4 linked regions of the Caenorhabditis elegans genome follow. The protein of the gene in region 1 interacts with the protein of each later gene in a pairwise test. Each region holds a gene or a part of one and is shown in the gene's direction. Other genes may lie near its edges. The genes, in order: Y37H2A.1, F43B10.1, sup-46 and scrm-2.

Evidence for each region.
Region 2: the proteins of Y37H2A.1 (region 1) and F43B10.1 interact in a two-hybrid assay, tested with the Caenorhabditis elegans proteins (one large-scale study listed by BioGRID).
Region 3: the proteins of Y37H2A.1 (region 1) and sup-46 interact in a two-hybrid assay, tested with the Caenorhabditis elegans proteins (one large-scale study listed by BioGRID).
Region 4: the proteins of Y37H2A.1 (region 1) and scrm-2 interact in a two-hybrid assay, tested with the Caenorhabditis elegans proteins (one large-scale study listed by BioGRID).

Annotation. Positions count from the first base shown.
Region 1 is NC_003283.11:18,106,462-18,114,309, forward strand, and holds the start of Y37H2A.1 (Deoxyribonuclease TATDN2), read left to right. Parts: upstream 1-1,807; 5' UTR 1,808-1,814; coding exon 1,815-2,012; intron 2,013-2,520; exon of another isoform or gene 2,521-2,581; intron 2,582-3,357; coding exon 3,358-3,663; intron 3,664-4,890; coding exon 4,891-5,195; intron 5,196-6,000; coding exon 6,001-6,250; intron 6,251-7,386; coding exon 7,387-7,492; intron 7,493-7,848.
Region 2 is NC_003284.9:16,651,491-16,656,385, reverse strand, and holds the start of F43B10.1 (EF-hand domain-containing protein), read left to right. Parts: upstream 1-1,874; 5' UTR 1,875-1,902; coding exon 1,903-4,266; intron 4,267-4,895.
Region 3 is NC_003279.8:10,169,129-10,174,164, reverse strand, and holds sup-46 (RRM domain-containing protein), read left to right. Parts: upstream 1-1,561; 5' UTR 1,562-1,597; coding exon 1,598-1,676; intron 1,677-1,755; coding exon 1,756-2,042; intron 2,043-2,109; coding exon 2,110-2,325; intron 2,326-3,040; coding exon 3,041-3,142; intron 3,143-3,190; coding exon 3,191-3,430; intron 3,431-3,797; coding exon 3,798-4,046; intron 4,047-4,099; coding exon 4,100-4,291; 3' UTR 4,292-4,526; downstream 4,527-5,036.
Region 4 is NC_003279.8:13,233,801-13,237,176, forward strand, and holds scrm-2 (Phospholipid scramblase), read left to right. Parts: upstream 1-1,547; 5' UTR 1,548-1,566; coding exon 1,567-1,929; intron 1,930-2,093; coding exon 2,094-2,336; intron 2,337-2,379; coding exon 2,380-2,482; intron 2,483-2,526; coding exon 2,527-2,585; intron 2,586-2,640; coding exon 2,641-2,670; 3' UTR 2,671-2,863; downstream 2,864-3,376. Other genes in the region: ZK1053.2 (uncharacterized protein), read left to right, coding at 347-600, 651-860.

The DNA of each region.
Region 1 (7,848 bases):
AATCATTTTGGTCTGCTACAGATTTGTGTAGTTTGTAGTCTGGCCACCTAGCCTCAAATTTATGAAATTTTGACATTTTTAGCGAAAAAATAGTGATGGTCTGCTAAATATTTTTGTAGTTTGTAGTCTAGCAGACCCAAATCAAGCGTATGGGTCTGCCAGACTACAAACTACACTTTTCGACTGAATTTCACGATTTTTAAGAGATTTTTAAGAGATTTTCTTAGTTTGTTTCCTGTGAAAATTTACGAATTTTTATCGAATTTTCCTGAAAAATACGATTTTTTTTTCGTTTAAAAGTTCGAGTTTTTACACTCAAAAAATCAACAAAAAAAACGCCGATTTCTCAGTTTTCGCAAATTTTTGCTCAATATCCCTTGAAAAATACGAAAATTGGCTTAAAAACGTGTAGTTTGTAGTCTAGCAGACCCATACGCGGCGATTTGGGTCTGCTAGACTACAAACTACACAAAAATATTTCGCAGACCCATCATTTTTTCGGCAAAATTTAGCTTTTTTGCGTTTTTAACCGGAAATGTGTGCGGATTTTCGGCATTTTTTCGGATAAAAAACTCAAATTTTTCACAAAAAATTCGATTTTTTGGGTTTTTTCCCGAATTTCAAAGTGTTTTCTGGTAAAAAAATCGATTTTCCACTCCATTTTTCCCCATTTTTCCTCGAGTTTTCAGCATATTTTATTGATTGCTCAAGCTTCTTTGTCTTTTCTAACCGATTAACACTGTTTGTGTGTAGTAAACGTGCTCTATCGCCACCTTTTCTCAGGTTTTTTTTCTTAAAATTTTAATTTATTCACAAAAGTCCCTTCTTCACCTGTTCATGTATACAACCTGTGTGTCTATTACTTAATTCTTCTTTAAACATTATGATTATGATTATTGTAGCAACAAAAAAAAACTTAATTTTCCGGCAGTTTCTCGATTTTTTTTCGGTTTTTTTTCGTTAGAAACCCCCCAAATTCGTCATATCTTTATTTTTTTGCTCTTTTTTCTTCGAAAATTTAACTATTTATTGATTTTTTTTTCCTCCGCCATCGTGCTTTAGACACCGACACACCATATATATATATTTTATAAAAATTTCTGCTGAAAATTTCTGAATTTTCATATATTTTTTCACAATTTTTTTTTGGTTTCAACTCCAGAAATATTTGTACTTTTTTTTTTCTGTTTTTCGTCTTTGTTTTTTGTAGTTTATAGTATCCTGATATAGACTACAAACTACAATACCTTTCTTTTTCTGTAGTTTGTGACTTGGTCTGGCAGACTACAAACTACGATATTTCGCGAAAAATTGCGTTATTTTTTTTTTAAATTAAAATCTCAAAAACTGCTCATAATGATATTGCGAATTTGATTTTTTTTTCTACAAAGAAAAACCAATTTTTGTGTAGTTTGTAGTCTAGCAGACCCAATATCAAAAGAATTTTTTTAATACAAAAAAATAGAAAAATTAGAAAAAGAATTCGTTTTTAAATCACGTTTCCTTTAAAAAATCTAACGAAAATCACTCAAATTTTGGAAATATTTACCCGATGGGTCTGCCAGCGTTTTTTGTAGTTTGTAGTCTAGTAGACCCAAACTCCAAATTTTTTGATTTTTGGCCTTTCGAAGCGTTTTTTTTTTGATATTTTTTTCTTAAAAAAGGCAAATAATCACTTTAAATTATGCAAAAAACACGTTTTTTAACTGATTTTTTCTCCAAAATTCTTAAAAAACCGTTTTTTTTTTCCGAAATTTTTCTTGCCAGTCAAAGAAAATCAACGAAATTTAACGCTTTTTTTTTGCAGAAAAAAAATGGGTGAACCAAGACGTTACGGGTTCCAACAGCCGCCGCCGCCGCCAAATTGTTGTGAAGATGGTGGTGGAATAGAAGATGGACTAATTCGAGATTCTGGACTAAATCGGGCCGGATCTGGATCCGGTGGAAGGCCTGTCAGCTCGACTTCTAATGAAAGCTGGAGAAATGTTCCATGGGGACCACCGGGCAGACAGGTCATTAGTTTTGTTCGAGAGGACTTCAAAAAAATTGTAGTTTGTAGTCTGGCAGACCCATTTTCTGAATTTGGGTCTGCTAGACTACAAACTACACGTTTAATCCACGTGTTTCTTTTTTGAAAATTTATAACAAAAATTTTGACGTTTTTAAACGAAAAAATCGTATTTTTCGTTAAAATTCCATAAAAATTCGCTAATTTTCACAAAAAAATCGTAGTTTGTAGTTTGGCAGACCCAAATCGAGCGTACTACAAACTACACTTTTTACTGTACAAAAATATACATTTTTAGGCTATTTCCTCAGTTTTTTTGTTGTAAAAATTGGCTAATTTTTATGGAATTTTCCTTAAAAATACGATTTTTTTTTCGTTTAAAAGATCAATTAAATCGTGGATTTTATTTAACTTTTGAATTCCAGAATTTCAGTGAAAAATTCAATTTTAGCATAAAAACCCGGAATTTCGGCGTAATCTCTCAAATTTTCGATTGGTCTGCTAGCGTTTTTTGTAGTTTGTAGTCTAGCAGACCAAATTTCTGAGAGTAGGTCTGCTAGACTACAAACTACAAAACGTATTTGGCAGACCCATATTTTTTTCGACTGAATGTTGCGTTTTCATGTGAAAAAAATAAAAAAGATTTAGAGGGAAAAAACTCGGTTTCGTACAGAAAATTAATAAAAAATGGGGATTTTTCGTTTTTTCAGACGGTTTTTCGGCGAAAATTGTGATTTTACTCATATTTCTCTGTAAAAATCGATTTTTCAGTCAATGTTCGTGAATTTTCATATTCAAATTGCGAGAAAATTCAAAATTTGGATTTTTCCAGCGAGAAAAAATCAGGAAAACTGCCCAAAATCACAGCGAAATTGACGATTTTTACCTAGTTTTATGGTCTGCCAGACTACAAACTACACAAAATGTATTTAGCAGACCCAAAAAAAAAAATTTCGCGATTTTTTTTTTAATTTTTTCTTGTATTTTTGACCAATTAGCATTAAAATTCGCTAATTTTTCCCCCCAATTCCGAAAAAAAAATTGATTTTTCTCAAAATTTCCCAATTTCCTCCCCCGCTAATGGCCATCTGCTCTCCGAATAACACACTTGGCACGCTGCCAAGTGTCTACCAACAAATCCCATCGATTTTCGCGGTTGGTGAGGGACGAAAAATCCAATTTCCATGAAATTTCTGCCGTTTTTTTTCTAGATTTTCCATGAAAAAATCGGATTTCAATGCCAAATATCCGGAATTTTTGCCATTTTTATTTCAGATTTTGCAGATATTTCACCCTAAAACTATCCGGAATTTTAATATCGGAAACCATTAAAACAATTCTTTTTACAGGGTCCCGCTGTTCACCAACATCATCAAATGGTTCAAGTACATACACGTCGGCTCGGCGGAGCAGCACCAACAATGCACCATAGTAGGCCACCGCCGCCGCCTTTGGACCGACGCCCGATGTCACCTCAAAACGCCTCAAGACCGCTTCCCGTCCGTGGTACAAATTATTCAACGAATGGAGATTGGCCTGATCAACGTCCGACGATTATTCAACAATCGTCAAGAATTAATTCGTTTCCGAATAGACCTGTAGCTAATAATAGTTATCACAATGAGAATATACCATTTAAGGATATTATTCTGGAGGTACTTGGAAATTTGAAAATTTTTAAGCGGCGCGTCGCGGTTGCGTCGCGTTTTTTTTTTTTGAATTTTTGAAAAGGGTAATATGGGTTTTGAATTGAACACACTGTTGAATTGGAGCAGTTCACGCAATTAATAATTGCCGGATTTGGAAATTTTCGGCAAATTTGATAATTGCCGGTTTTGGAAATTTTCGGCAAATTCGATAATTGCCGGTTTTGTAAATTTTCGGCAAATTTGATAATTGCCGGTTTTGTAAATTTTCGGCAAATTCGATAATTGCCGGTTTTGGAAATTTTCGGCAAATTTGATAATTGCCGGTTTTGTAAATTTTCGGCAAATTCGATAATTGCCGGTTTTGGAAATTTTCGGCAAATTTGAAAATTGCCGGTTTTGGAAATTTTCGGCAAATTTGATAATTGCCGGTTTTGGAAATTTCCGCCAAATGTGACAATTGCAAAAAATTGAATTTTTCATGAAAATTCGCTAATTTTCACACGAAACATTGAGAAAATTGGCGAAATTCAGTATGATTCAAAAAATTTAAAATTGTGTAGTTTGTAGTCTAGCAGACCCAAATCAAACAAACGGGTCTGCCAGACTACAAACTATACATTTTCGACAGAATGTTAGTGTTTTTAATGATTTTTTTGCGGGAAATATCTCAAAATTTGCATTTTCTCGGAATTTGAATGTGAAAATTCACCAAAATTGACTCAAGCAATCAATTTTCACACAGAAAATATTGAAATTCGGTAGAATAAAACCCCATTTTTCGCCGAAAACCCCGTCTGAAAATCCAGAAATCCACATTTTCTATCGATTTTCTGTGGGAAACTGAGTTTTTTTTTCCCAAAAATCTGCTAATTTTCACTTGAAAATGCAAAATTTTGACGAAAAAAAGATATGTAGTTTGTAGTCTAGGTTACAAACTACAGTGTTTTGAAAAAAAAAAAAAACTGGAAAATTCAGTAAAAACTGGTTAGTTGGCAGACCCAATGGGTCTGCTTGCTGGACTACAAACTACAAAAATATTTAGCAGACCAAAATGGTTTTTTGCTATTTTTTCGCCAAAAATGCCGAATTTTCTATTGAAAAAACACAGACTCTAAACTACAAAACTGTTTTTTCGCCAGTTTTTACTAGTTTTTCAGCAAAAAATGACTTGAAATTACCGATTTGGGGGGATTTTTTTCGGAAATTCACCCAAATAAACCCGATTTTTTGCAGTTACACGAGCACACTGTCCCATTCATCGATTCACATTGCCACGTTGATTTCATGTACAACCAAATGGTTCATAATAATCCGAATTCATCACTCAGTCATGGCCTATCGCATTGGATTCATCGATATCCATATGGATTTCCGAAATCTTTTTATGGAGTCATTGCGAATTTCATTAAACCTTCGCTTTTTGTTGTGAATGATGGTGGTGGTGGAAATGGATATGATATAGATTGGATTATAAATGAAATTGAATCGAATATCTACTTGGGAACCACTTGGGGATGTCATCCACATTATGCACAAGAGTATGTGTCACTTCTTGGTGTAGTTTGTAGTCTGGCAGACCCAATTTTTTTAAAACGTTTTAGTGAAAGAAGTTGAAGTGAAAATTAAAAATTTTTTTTTTTTGAAAATTGAAAAAAAAAACATAATTTTTCGGCTATTCTTTTTGGAAAAAAATAATAAAAATCGAATTTAATACATTTTTCAATTTTTTTTTGCAAAGAAAATTTGCAAGTTTAACCTTTTTTTATTAAAAATGTACAGAAAATGCACCTTGAAATTAAAAAAAAATCAATTTTTTCCTCCTAAATTGATATTTCTCACTGAATTGTTTGGCTTTCAGGGGAATGTTCTAAAATAGTCAAAAAATCACTTTAAATAATGAAAAAAAACACATAATTTTTGGAACTGATTTTTCCACCAAAATTTTGAAAAAAAAAATCCTTTTTCCCCAAAAATTAAAAATTTTTTGCACTTTTTCCCAATTTTCTTTAAAAAAAACGGGAAAATTTCTCCAAAACTCGTTAAAAACCCAAATTTTCGAAATATCCGATGGGTCTGCTACCGTTTTTTTGTAGTTTGTAGCCTAGCAGACCGATCTACAGAATTTAAAAATTCGACAAAAGATAATATCAGATTGCTTTGGCGAGGATTTTTATTTTATACACACTGATTATTTAAAAATTGAACAAAAAAGTTGTAGTTTGTAGTTTGTAGGCCTGCTAGACTACAAACTACAATTTTCTGTCGAAAATGTTCTATGACGTATGCCAAACTACAAACTACACATGCTTTTGTAGTTTGTAGTCTATCATCAAATAATTACAGATGGGCTTCAAAAGACATCTTCTGGCAGACGCTTGAGCACATTTTATCGAATGCAGCCACGTGGAAGGTGTTGGCCGTCGGAGAGTGTGGACTAGATTTACACCGTTGTATATCGGATCTAGAAGTACAGAAAATGGTATTTGAGAAGCATATCGATTTGGCATACAAGTATCAATTACCATTAGTCATTCACTGCAGAAGTGGACAAAAAGGACGTGCAGAAGAACAATGCCTGCGTATTTTGAAGAAGGTAGCCGCGGAAAATTCGCAAAAAATGGTGGAAAAATCGTGTTTTTTGGAGAAAATTGACGTATGGGTCTGCTAATGAATTTTTGTAGTTTGTAGTCTAGCAGACCAAAAATCATCAATTTTCAGCGAATTGTTCGATTTCTGCTGTCTCGAAGCGATTTTTTTTTGAATGTTTCCCATTAAAAAAGTGTTTAAACGAGTTTTCCTCCAAAATTTTGTGAAAATTTGAAATTTTTGCCGATTTTGGGTATGGTCTGCTAAATATTTTTGTAGTTTGTAGTCTGGCAGACCAATATTCTCGGATTTTTTTTGGAAATTGAAAAAATATTTTTTGAAAAGTTTTTGAAGTTTTTATGAATCCGATTTTTGATGATTTAAATCGATTTTTTTGCAAAAAAAAATCTAAAAAGTGTAGTTTGTAGTCTAGCAGACCAAAATATTTCCAAGCAACGTTGAAAATTTGCAAAAAAAATTGACTTGGGTCTGCTAATTAAGATTATGTAGTTTGTAGTCTAGAATGTTAATTTTATATAACTTTTCTGAAATTTCTGATTTAGAAATCAGAAAATTGCCGAAAAACCGCAGAGCTTACTTTTTTCTCAAATTTCTTAGACAAAAAACCTAAAAATATGGGTCTGCTAGAGTTTTTTTGTAGTTTGTAGTCTGGCAGACCCAAATTCATTTCTGAGATTTTTTTGTGCCCAAAAATTGAGACATTTTCGAAATAATTTTAAAAACAAATTTTGGAAATAGGAATTTAATTGAAAAATCCGATTTTTGAAAATTAAATAGATATTTTGCAATTGGGTCTGCTAAAAAAGTGTAGTTTGTAGTCTGGCAGACCCAAAATTTGCAACAAAAAAAACTGAAAAACTACATTTTTCGAGAAACTACAAGGACATTTCTCTCATTTTTGAAGACTACAAACTACATAATGTTCTTTCTTTGTTTTCATTGTGTAGTTTGTAGTCTTAAATTTTTTTCAAAAATCAAAATTACCCCGGAAATTTCAATTTTTGCTGCAAAAAAAAATTCAGAAATTTAAATTATTGTGTCTGCTAAAAAGGTGTAGTTTGTAGTCTGGCAGACCCAAATATTTCCAGTTTTTTTTCCATATAAGTATCTAAATAATTTCAGAAAATGGACGAAAATCATAAATTCCTGAAAATCCACCGTCATTGCTTCACAGAGACTTGGGAAGTGGCACAAATGTGGATGAAACAGTGTCCGAACGTCTATTTTGGTGAGGAAACCCGAAAAAATGCAACAAAATTGATTGAAAAAGTGTGTAGTTTGTAGTCTAGCAGACCTAAAACCGATGTTTTGGTAAATTTCGATTTTTAACATTTTTCTCATAGAAATCAATTGCAAAAAACCGAAAAATCCAATTAAATTGGTCTGCCAGTGATTTTTTGTAGTTTGTAGTCTAGCAGACCCAAACTCCATTTTTCGCTATTTTTTTCAATTCTAGTGTTTCTAGTGTGTTTTTTGTAATTTTTTGATGAAATAGCGTTAAAATTTGCTAGTTTTCCCCACAATTTTGTGAAAAATTCTATTTTTTCTACCAAATTTTTTAAAATTTCCAAACCAAAATTTCCG
Region 2 (4,895 bases), on another chromosome or scaffold:
TTGAAATCCTAGAAACCCTGGAAAATCGAGAATCTTTCAACAATAATTTCAACTCCAAACAGAAAAATCGTTGAGTGCTGCCAAAAAATCATACTTGCTTCTCTAATAAATATTTAGATATTTGGAAAATGTATCCTATGAACTCCTAACAAAATGATATCGAATTTTTTCAAATTTTTTTTCAGCTAGATTTGTTTTTAAGAAGAATTCCACTGAAATTTTGAAAAAAAATGACAAAAATTTGCAAAAATTTGAAATAAGATTTTAGGTACTTGTATTCTAATCCCTCATATTAAAAATGAATTTTTAAATAAAAACGTGTCGAGTTTTTGTATTTTTCGGCTTATAAACATTTAATCATTTCTAAGCCTAAACAGGGAAAATGAACATCACGTTTTATCAGAATCGGAAGATAAATGGAAGTTTAATTAATTTTAAAAATGCGGGGTTTTAATGCACAAGTACCAAATTTTGTAAATATATTCGCTCTTGATTATGATTGCTTTTATTCTTTAGATTGTTGCATTGTTTCCAGGATAACTCAGTCTCATAAACTATGTCCTCCAGAAAGTTTTTTACTGAACAAAATGAAACTTGCTTTGGAACTCCATAGGATCAATTCCTTTTTTCAGTCATTTTTCAGCCGCCGTCATCTTCCATTCCTAAACTTCGCTTTTAATATTTCTCCCGTTCAATATAAAAATAGTGAAACGTAAAAGGAATGATGATTAGGTGACCACGGATTGCACTTGACGAGTGCCCGATAATGATACATCGAGAGAGTGAGAGAAAAAGAGCAGGCGATCTAGCGACAGCTGTCGGGGGTCGTCGAAGTGTAGAAGGACGGACCTCTGAAATGAAAGCAAAAACGTATTCCGTCTCTCCTCGAGAAAATATATACTCCATCTCTTTCTCTCCCTCGCTCTCGCCGGGAGCCCCGTCTACCCGCTGTAACAATACCAGTGTTCTATCGGCTCGTCGCCGCTTTCGCCTCGAAAGTCTTCTCGAGGGGCTCGCAATTTATTGGCTTCTAGACCATTCAGCTTCTTCTTCTTCTTCTTTTTCTGCTTTTTCATTTTCTCTTCTTGCTGCTTCGTCTCTTTTTCTTTTTTACCGCCGACGTTCTGGTTGCACTCGCTCACTACTACCTGTCTTTTTTCGCTTGATCATCGTTTCATCTTTTATCCTCCCACTTTTTTTCGTATCCGCTTTTCTAGTTTTTTAGGATCTAGATTTTTGAATAGTGGTTTTGGTTTTTTAGCTTAAAAACTCCGCTCTAAGAGCTCTTTCAACCTTTTTCGTAGAATTAATGTTCAGAATTCTCATCATCATCACCATCTATCGTTCATTCTTTCATCACATCTTCTTTTCCAAATCTTCTTACAAAATATGTCGCTCCTCCTAAAGGAAAAGTTGTTACTATTACTAATCACTTCAATCTGCAGTTTCTGCTGGTTCAGGCCACTCCTATTCTTCTTCTTTTTCGCACTTTCATTTCAATCTATGTTTTCCCACTAATTGCTACCTGCTAGATACTGATCTATTATATAATTCTATTTTAAGTTACCAGTGGGTTCAAGTTCATTTTATAAATAAAAAATGCAATGCAAATAAAAAATTTTTTAAGTAGTATTTTTCCTCTCATTATGAATCAATCCTCCTTCCTCTATTAAATTTGATTATGATCCTATCTTTTTTCCTTTGTTACCTCTCACTCTGCCTCTCAAGTTTGTTTGATTTGTTGCGTTTTTCCATGTTTTTGTGCATTTTTGCTCCAACTTGCTGCCACCTACTCAACAGTTGTCCTGCAAAATATCTCGTTTCTTTGTTCTTCCCCCGCCATTCTTTTAATCTCTCTTCCAATTTCGGACATCTTTCAGTACTTGCGAGAGCAAAGGGTAAATGTACCATCTTGACGACGACTACTTCGCAAGATTCAACCAGCCGTCGTCCTCGTCAGTGCAGTTTCCATCGGAATCGTTACGGTACGGAGGCAGTGGTTTGGCCACTACAACCACGTTTGGTGCTGAAAACGACCCCCAAACTACTCGTTTCCGGTCGCAGTCGGCCGATAATCGAAGATCAGCGTTTCAACATCAGCCGAGAACAATCTCGGAGGATCACATTCCAGAGCCGTGGAATCAAGGACCACTTCGTACTGCTGAAGTGAACTTTCCGTCCCAACAACGAAGACCAGCTTCAACCACGCCCTGGTCGTCACATTCAGAGTACCACTCGTCACATAACCTGTCAGTACCCTCTTCCTTCTCGGAACACCTTCGCGAAAGATCGCCAGCCAGTGGCTCTGCACTTCTCGACTTACTCTCTCGTTACCCGTCTGCACAGCACTCTGTGCAAAACTCACCAGCCGTGCAAGCCTATATCGACAGAATTCACACGGATCGGGCTCCACCGACACGATCGTATACCTATCAATCGTCCGAATCTAACTTTCCACTAATTGAGTATTCAATTCGCCAAGAAGTCCCAAACGGTGTTCGATCGACAACTTCGGTTTATCAAAACGTGGTTCCAAACGGAAACGGATATCCGTCTCAACAAAGAGTGCAAACAACCTTCACCTCGAACGGTCCGGTAACTTCTACTTTTCATCGCGAATACCACAACTCTACCCCGCATCAATATCAGCACTCAAGTTCGCTTGGTGGTCCTCCTCTGCCACTTCCACGAGAGTCGTCATTGCAACAGCAGCAGCAACAGGCGCACCCGTTCGAAAATCGATCTGAGTTTCATCGTCATCCACCGCCGCCGCCGCCGCCATCTTCCTCTTCATCTCATCAATTTTACAACAACGGAGTACCCGCACTCGCCTCAAGTGCGTCGTCCGGAGGTTTTCGTCAACCCGTGTTTCACGACACGGATCAGTTGGATATTATTGCTCAACGTCTCCTTGATGACAACATGAGTCGAAGCACATCAGAATGGAGCAAATCGTTTGAACAGTTGCAGAATCGGTTTCAAAATTTGGAAAGCGATGACTTGTTGAGTCCATCCGCTTTTACGACCACTGGGTCAATGACTTTGCCACGACGTGGAGCACAGCTGCCAATTTCAAAGTCTTCAAGTAACTATGAAATGAATAGTTCGCTTCTTGGAAGAGCGGTTGAACGAAGAGCAGCTGAAGCTCCAGAACAAAGAAAATCCGGAGCATTGGATAATTTCTGGAGTCAAACCATCAGCTCGAGACCTTCTTCGCCAACAATTCAGAGAATTCCAACAAGTTTAACAGCAGCAGAACGACTTCAAATGTTACAAGAACCAATCGACACTGAAAAAAGGTTTACTCAGAGAGTTGGCAGTGGTCAAGGAGTTGCTGCAAGAAAAGCTGAGCTGATGAGAGAACCATCCGTCGAATACACCGAGAAGCCGAGAACTCCATTGAATCCAGCTTTTCCGTCAAATTCTTTCCTAATTCCAAGTTTCAATGAACTGGATAATGCTGTAAATGAACTCTCAAGAACTGTTCGTGGAAATACATTTGGCGGAACAACATTTGGATCCGTGTCACCTGCACCTGTTGTTCACAATGATTCTCTAAACCGACGAGTTGGAGGTTGCGGTAGATTTCCAACAGGTGAACACGCTTTTAGTCCCCCACCAATTGAGGTGTCTAAGTCTCCTGCTTTGTCACTTCACCGGAAGCTGCACTCTCCATCCCCAACAGATGAGGTCAGCGAGAGCTCTTCAGTGTATCAGATTCCAACAGGACTTCCGCATCCAAAACCGAAGCATAATGTGAAAGAACAACTTCATTTAGCTGGAATTCATACTCCTGGCTATCAAATTTCGCGAACCATGTATCGAAACGGACCGAACTTCCCGGTGCCCTCGACCGGAAGTGTTGCCTCTCGGATCACAGAATTCGAAAAACGACCAGGCACTCCCGTTGTGCAACTCTCGACCACAACCGTCAAATACAACGAGCATGTACCAGTTGCGGCGACCGCTAAAGCTGTACCGCAAACCAATGGCAATATGAGTCCACGGAGCGCGGTGTTTCGTGCCAAACCAGTCATTCACGTGGACATGGGCAGCACATATCAGCACTCGTCGCCGACACCGCCAATCCGTCATATTCAAGTGCATTCGGTTCAGAATCAGAATCATCAACCACTGCAAAATCATCAAAACCACCAGTCCTACCTTGGGAAAGAGCAACATAATCACTACCGTCCACAGTATCAGCAGCAGCCAATTAAACAACACGACATTGCGACCCATTCGATTTTCGACTTCAAATCAAACGTGAGTATTTTTTAGTTCTTTTTTTAAATCCTGATCTTCAATTTCTTATGAGACTGTGGGGTTTTGCTTGGCAAAATCTTGTTAGTGTACTTTCAATCATGTGGGAATAGTGCAAACAACCGCGAAAAACTATCGGGGCTTGTGTTCGGAGATGAAAAAGTATTCTGGATCTTGTTTTCGAGAGAAATGACAGTTTTTAGAACGTGTGCTCTATTTTGAGACGATTTTTGATTGCTGTTTCTATTAGTTGGTTTTTTTTTCTCAGACACCAAAAAATACTTACGTCAATCCTGAGAATTGCACCTTTCCAAAGTATAAAATAACATGTTTTTATAACTCCAAATGTAGTTTTTCCCTTATCTCTGTTTAGTTTAGGTGATCATTTCAATGAAATTTTTTTTTCATTAAAATTGTAACTTTCAAATTATTTGTTAAATAATTTCACAACAATTTTCTGCTTTGTTTTTGGACATTTTCGGAAACGAATACACATTTCTATGACGTCCATTCTCAAGAATTCAGTGTAAACACAAGTGTCAATTTTCGCTGAATTTTATTGTTTCAACTTTGCCTTGTTTGTCATGGAATTCCAGAATTTTAATAAAATTCGAAATAGAGTAGTTGAAAAG
Region 3 (5,036 bases), on another chromosome or scaffold:
GGCGGCAATAAACGGCAGGTAGTTTTGCATTTAAAATGAAACGAGGCACGATTTTTGTCGTTAACATAAGACCAAGATTTCAGTTCTATCAATAATAAAATCTAGTGTAAGGAATAAAAGTGAGGGAAATGACGGCGATTGGGAAAAGACTAACTAGTTCCATGCGATTACTGTTCGACATGGTAGAAGGCGTCGGCTTTTAAATGTATATACGATTTGATATTCGTATGGTGAAACCTAGAGGAATAGAAGGGAGAGACATGGTCATCGGCGGGAAAAGAGAAAGAATAGGGAAAACACGTCATGAAGTGTATATGATAAGACATTTGGGACGATTGGAGCAATATCAGAAACTTTATATGGACGTTAGTCATTTGGAATGTGACTTGTGAACGATAGTTTGAAATGTTGGTGTTGAATCACCTATTCTATAAACATTTTGAATATTTTTGGACAGCTAGCGCATGAATTGTGAAAAAAAAACAAAAACGCGTTGTTATAGAACTTGAAGCAAAACTAAATTGTACAATTATTAATAATTTTTAGTGTGAAATTGAGAATAAATCTGTCATGCGGAGGCAAAACAAAACGAGAGGCAGCTTATCTCACAAAAAACGTTTTCTATTCTTTCTCCGAAATTTGACACTGAATTCAGTTCATAAAAATCCTATTGACAATTAACGAACAAAATTATTTTTAGGGAAACATGGAAGAAACAATTGAAGAATAAAATAAATTATAGAATAGAGTGTTTCAAAGAGAACAGAGATCTTGTTTCACAGAACCATGCTATCGAAAATGAAAAAAAAATCGTAAAAGATCCAGAATACTGGCTTAGCAGCAAAGAAAAAGCCTTCACTTTTCGCGGCGATTTGTGGCGTCAAATCTGATGTCGGCTGTGCGGCTCGTCTCGACGCACAAATGCACACTTGTGTTTGCCGCCGTCTCTTCTTTTCGAATTTCGATTTTTCTCTCTTTTATCGTATTTATTTTTCTTTATTTTCTTCGTTAAATCAAACGTTTTTTTGTTTTAAAATTTGCTAAATGGTTCTCGCGGCTTAAATATGCATTATCAGTCGGAAAATCTCCAAGATGTTTCAGAGAATTGCTCCGATAGATAAATTTCGAAATTGTTCCTCTTTTTGAAAACTTAATTTTCGGTTCGGGAATTTTAAGAGAGTTTAGAGCATTCTAGTCTTTCTGTAAGATATCAAGTCAAATTTTGCTCGAGTGGCCTATTTGTAAGTAAAGAAGCAAATAAGGTGCGATCACAAAACTTTTTACTCATCTGTGCATAAGTTTTCGATCATTGTTGTAACATAGTTTTTCAATTCGATGTCAAATCAAGTATTACATTGGCGAGACAGTTCAGTAAATAATCTTTTATCTCTTTCAACAATAAAAATGGGCCACTCAGCGAGCAGATTATTTTAGTTACAATTAATTTTCGACTTGTTAGCAATCAAAATGGAAATAAAATTTCAATTGTTTTTTAAAGAAGCCCGTTGTTATATGAAAACATTTGCTTATCGTCTAATTGATTCTAGTTCAACTCATTCAGAAAGCTTAATCCAAGATCCGTGTTCCATCAGCCAACATGAACAGAAATCGTCGAGACGGACCACAGCGTGATGTTAAGCGAGAGCGTCGGAGCCGATCCAGAAGTCCAAGAAGAAGTATAGTTTTTGATATTCTTCATTCCCGTTTCCACCATTTTTTCCATAGAAATCCTTCTCTATTTTCCATTTCCTTAAGGTCGTATCGGCGCTGCTGTTGGAAGTAACAATGGGAACTCATCATCGAACAACCGAATGGTTTTTATCACCAATATCGCCTATGAGGCTCGTTGGGTCGATTTGAAAAGTCTAGTTCGCGAGAAAGGAGGTGAAGTCGCTTTCTGCGAGTTGCTCGAAGACCGTAACGGCAAGCCAAAGGGTAACGCTGTGGTTGAGTTCGAAACTCGTGAGGGTGCCGAAAAATGCGTTGAGAATCTACAAAAGTTCGACTGGAAGGGAAGAACCATCATCGCCAAAGAAATTCGGGTCCGTATCTATTTAATTTTGACACTCACATTCAGAAATTTTCATCCATTTTTTATTTTTTCTGTAGGATCCGAATGCTTTCTTCCGAACCATCAAAACTGAAACAGGCATTGATTACTTGTCTCGTACCGGAGGTGGTGGTGCAGGAGGACGAGGTCCTCCACCAAAAGATCTTGATCGCCCTACTCGAACTGGAACTTATGATTTATTCGGTCTCAATATGGAATTCCTTCGCCAACACAACATTGAACCGCCACTCTGTGAGCGCATCTTCATCGCCAATGTAGGTTTCAAATATTCTTCTTCTCGAAGGGCTCCACATCTAGACCACGTTCACTTGCTGGGTCTTTATCTCAGTTTTGAGATATGAAATTATTCGAATGGGAGAAATAAATGCAATTTTTCATTTTGGTGTTTTTAAACGGAATAGTAGTAGGAAGCTTTCTACGTGGAATTATATACAACAAAATGGAATCAGTGCTTATTATAGTTTGTTCAGACAGTTGCATCCTCCGGGTAGATCTCTCAGTATCATACGAATAAAATATAGCATCACTAATTCAGTTACTAAATACCATTCTTAGTTCCCAATCAGAGGTGGTTGGCAATTATTTTCGGAAATGCTACAAAATGACCTATTGCGACATGTTTTTTTCAAAAGTTTTCATCAAAAATTAGTCTGAAAATGTAGATAATCACTTGATTTATCTGAAAATTAAAAAAAAATTATCTCGTTTTAAACATTTGGAAAAGTGCGCGAAAATGACCAAAAGTTGCCATTTGCCGAGAAACGATAATTCAACAATTTGATGATCGGCAATTTGCAACATCCTGGTATTTTTGAAGCGCTTTTCCAAGTGTTTTATCTGAAATAAGTGTTATTTTCAGATTTAAAAAAGTGATTTTCTATATTTAACATGGCGAAATATGTCATTTTATAGAATTTCCGAAATTCCACTTCTGTTTCCAAGACAATATTATTAATCAAACATTTTCAGTTGGCTTTCAATGTCGGAACCGATAAGCTTTACGAAGTCTTCGGTATGGCCGGTAAAATCACCTGGATGGACTTCCGCATTGATAAAGAAGGAAAGTCAAAGGTTTGTTAATATTTATAGTTCCTATAAAATATAAATGGTGTCTTCCAGGGAGTATGCGTAATTCAATACACTCACCCAATTGAAGCCGTACAAGCCGTTTCGATGCTCAATGGTCAGCGACTTTTTGATCGAAATCTGGTTGTGAAAATGGATAGATTCGATAAGGAACTGGAGCACAAAGAAGGTGGACTTCCACGAGGTCTTGAGTCAATCGGAATGGGTCTTGGAGCAGAAGGAGCACCACTTTCCAATGTTCATGGAATGTTCCCAGGAGATGCTTCAGTGCCGGTAAGCGATTTAAAACAAATTTCATCGGTGTGGTATATACTAGCATTCAATGGTGGTTTTAGATTTTTTTAAATCGAAAAATTAATTTTTTTTAAACAGAAATTTTCGGGTTTCCAACATTTTGATTTTTCGAAAAATGGCCTTTTATAAGAAAACGATATGTTTTCTTATGTTTTTCCCCATCAACAATCTGAAAACTTAATACAAAAATGGGTTTTTATATTCCAATTTGCTAAACATGTTTTTCGATTTTCAGAACAAACGGAACTTTCTCTGAAAAAAGCACAAAAAATGTTCGATGAAACTCTTGATAACAAATACTCAATTATAAAATTTTTAAAAGTTAATTTAATTATCTATATTTCAGTTCACAGCTCCAGCTGCCCCATTCGTAGGTGGACCACAAGTTGTTTCGGCTGGTGGTTTTGGAGGAGTCGTTGAACAAGCCAACTTTGCCCGATCCGTCATGAACAATGGACCATTTGGAGGAAATGCTGGTGTTGGTGGTGCTGGTGGAGCCACATTTGCTCAACCTGACGTCTTTGGTGTCAATGGAGCTGGTGGACTCGCCGGTGCTGCGACACCCCAGGCAACAAGGGTTATTATCATTCGCAACGTAAGTTTTCAATTCAAATTTCAATTTGTTCTCATTTATGATCTGTTATTCAGCTTCCAAGCGATTATACCTGGCAAATTGTCCGTGACCGTGTTCGAAACTTCGGAGAAGTCGACTCTGTTGATATGATGGCGCCAGGAGCTGCTCGCATTCGTTTTGCAACTTTCCAAGACGCTGAACGTGCTCGTGCTGCCCTCTATGGATCCACTGTCGAAGGCCGCATGATCAGCGTTGACTACGCCTAATTCATTCCCCCTGTTATATTTGTATTTGAAACTTCTCACGTTTCTCTTGAATCATCATCTATTATCTTTATTTTATCCGTTTTTTCTCCATCTCTATCCTTCCTTATCCCTTTAAAAAGGCTTCCTTGTCAACGGAATCTCAATAATTTAAAACATCTTCCTCATTTTCATCACTCTAAAACTATTTCTCATATTTTCCTCTGGCAGGATGGTGACAAATAAAAGTTTTAATAATAAATGACGTGACAAGTGTGTCTTCAGATGAGCGCCGCACAATTTGAGGTGCTATTCAGAAGACAATTTAGCATGTGTGTCCCGCATCAAACAAGAGCTTCACGCAATCTGATTTGCGCGCGACAACTGCTGCTCAAACGTTTTACCGTATGCCCTTAATTGCGTTTTGAAGACGTCTCTCTCCTTCATGAGCAAAAGATAGTCACGCCCATGAAGAATCCTTTGTTGCTGAGAAAACGATGATGAGCATTGTGTGTGTCTATTTGTATGCTCACAACTTTCTTTCGTTTGTCTATGTTTTCATTTTTGACGCCTTTCTCTGGATTACGGTACCTTGAGGCTTTTGGAGAAGGATTCTGAATTCTGCTTTATAACGAGTACTGTTATATCAATTTTTTTAAAAATTAATTGTTTTTATTTCAAAACCGGCAATAAAAAATTTTGGCACCAAAAATACCGTTCCTGGTCTCGTCACGACAATTTTTTGTTAAATACAAACGGGTGTGCGCCT
Region 4 (3,376 bases), on another chromosome or scaffold:
GCTGAGTGAGGCGCGAAATGCGGGCCTCACGCTGATACCGCTGTGTATTCGAATGTGTATTCAAAATATATTCAAATGCAAAAAGGCAGTTATTTGAAGCAGCCGACACTGTCGGGGTTCACTATACATTCGGATACATGCGGCTTGAGTGACGCCGTGAGGCCGGCGCGGTGACCGCTGAGGCCAGCGGATGCGCCGTTGCGGCGACTTCATGGAAGCCCTAGCACATACCTATCTAAAATACTGCGCCAGAAAGCTGACAACATTCTGGAGAAAGTATCTACACTAACTATAAGTTAACTCGTCAGCACTGTTGCCAGCTATACCGTTACCAATTTTCTTACAGGAATCGATGCGAACATCCTTATCTACATCCTACTCCTTGTCCTTCTCATTTGGTGCTTCTGTATTGCCCTGTGTCTTATTTGGATGTACGTGTGTGCCAAGCAACGAAAACACAAGATGATCAGTAAAGCTGAAGAGGAACGTGAAGCTATGTTGGCACTTTTGGAGAAAGGACACGAGACGGAGCACAGTTCTCGTAGAGCTAAACCATCGGTTTCTGTGGAAAGTGATGAGTTTGATAAGGAGTGGAAAAATGTGAGTTACAAAAACAGTTATTGATTTTTTTTCCAATTTTTAAATTGCAGATCAAACCATCCAAGTACACCCCCGCTTCTGTTTCCACTAACGAAACTAAATCCGAATTGGAGAGTGTGAAGCAACCGGTTGCAGCTACCCATGTCGCTCCTGTAGAAGTTTCAGAGTTCGAGGAGAGGCTCGATGATGATGTGGATCATAAGCCAAGACATGGAGGATATGTTAAGACGAAGAGAACTGCTGACTTACATTTTGACTGAAAATGAATAAAGTTTATGAGGGAATTAAATGGAATGTTAGTTGATGACTCAGGAATAAATTTTCGATAATTCCCAAGAGAAATGTGGTGACCCCTGGTAGCTTCTAGGTAATTGCAAATGAATTCTCGTATGAAAATGTTATAAATTGAAAAAATTCTCTCAATTTTTAGTACACGAGTACCCTGAACCTTGTGCTGTTTTCAAAGTATGTGTGTCTAGCTTCCCTCTTCGTCTATGCGCCTCTCACTTTCCGAACACATTCGCTGGTCCCACTTTCTGAACCCGCTTTTTCTCTGTTTCATGTTTTTTGAGCATCAATAAAAACAACGAATGTTTCCTACTTTTGACCAGTTTTCCGGTTTCAACTGTTCAGCAATTTTTTTCGATCTAAAGCAATAGTTTTTACTGTAATTTCTGTAGTGTTTGAAGAAAACCCCACGGATTTATGAGTTATAAAATATCAATATGCGTTTTTAAGTGTTTATTTCGACGAAATTTTTTTTACCTCTATTTTTATCAGTTTTAGAGCTCGATGAGCCGAGTAAAATTATTGAGTAGTCAGTAAACTCTTTTATCTATTTTTTCTATTTTTGAGCACCAATTTTGTAACAAAATGAAATTTAAGAATTCGGACCAATCTTTGCTTAGTTAAGCGCAATTTCAAACAATCAGCAACCCGTTTTTTATAAGTTTCAGATTCGAAATAATGGATCAACTATTTTATAATGGACCACCTGATTACGTTGAAATTGAAGACCGAGCCATAACAACTGAACCAGGAGCTTCTATACAAGCAGCTCCCGGAGCAATTTGGATGGAAGCACTTCCAGCGATTGAGGGAATCCCAGCAGGGTTGGAATACCTTGCCTACTTGGACACGGTCATGGTGCATCAAGTGAAGGAGGTTCTTGAGATTCTTACTGGATGGGAGAGTAAAAATAAGTATGCTATTAGAAATAAAAATGGACAGCAGTGTTACTATGCGTTCGAAGAATCCAACGCTTGGGAGAGACAGTGTTGTGGATCGCAACGAGGTTTTACGATGCACATTGTGGATAATTTTAACAAGGTGAGTTATGGCCTAGAGATGCAGATTTCTAAGCCATGAAGCTTGAGTTCTTATCACTTTTTAACTCCTGATTATTTCATGGGATGTGTAATAATAGGAAAACATTCCTAAAGTTTCTTGAAAATTCTTTTAAATTAAGTTTTTAAAACATTTGTTTTGTTAAGAATGTGCTCATCGTCAAACGAGAATTAAGATGCTGCGCAGACTCATTTTGTGGATGCTTGCTAGGTCTTCAAAACATATGCACCATTGAATCACTATCAACTGGCCTTCTGGGTACTGTCCTTCAAGGATATGGTTGCACGAATTCATTCTATAACATTTTGGATAAAGATGGAAATCTGATTTTCCTAGTTGATGGTCAAGGATGTTGCACAAGTTGCTGCTGTGAAGATAAGGATTTTACGGTGACAAGACTTTGCCGAATTTAAAATACTCCATACTTTTCAGATCAAAACTCCCGACAGCTCCGTGCCAATTGGCTCAATAACCAAGAAGTGGGGTGGACTATTGCGTGAAGCGTTTACCGATGCCGACACTTTTGCAGTCACCTGTGAGTTAGTCTTGAAAGTGAAAGAATAGTTGAAAGAATTTCAGTTCCCATCGACCTTGATGTCAAGCTCAAAGCGATACTGCTGGGAGCCACATTTTTGATTGTGAGTTTTTGTGCTTCTTATCCAAAATTTAATTTAACTATTACTCTATTTTCAGGATTTCGTGGAGTTCGAAAATAATAACTGATGTGGAAAAACTGGAAATCTCGCAATGCACTTCTCGCTTGTTTTCTGCGATCAGAGCTCTAATTATGAAATGATAATGTGCTTTCTTTGTATGCATGTATATTAAAATAAGACATTTTGCAAACGCGCCGTTTGCATCGCTTTGCTTCTTTTCTTCAACATCTTCAAAATGAAATAAAATAATTATAATTATATCGCACTTCCAATAAGCGTAAAGCAAGAACGATTGAATATATAACGGAGAAAACTCCGATATTAAAAATCTAGAAATCTTTTGATTAAAAATCTTTCGGTAAACTGATAAATACAAATTTGGCCTACTTTTCACCTGTATCGTTACCACCGACATGCTCTACTGCCATGCACATCTCTTCAATTCCGTGATTTACGAGACGAGAGGCAATAAAGATCACAGTTACGTTTTTTAAAGATTACAACTTTTTCAACTTCTTAGATTTTCACGAATACTTCCTTGTTGCATGTCTACGAAGCAAGCCTGCTGCCGAACCCAATTCTTTCAAAACGAACTATATTCATTTTTCAACCCTTTTTGATAAGTTTATCTTTTGTTAAAATATAAGAAAATGTCTTCGGAAGATCCTATTTATTCACAAAACGAATCACTGTTGTTAGGCAGTTCTAACAAGTAAGTTTCTTTTTTTGCACTGCTAGTGAGCCCAAGATTTTCCAAATAAAAGATTAATTTT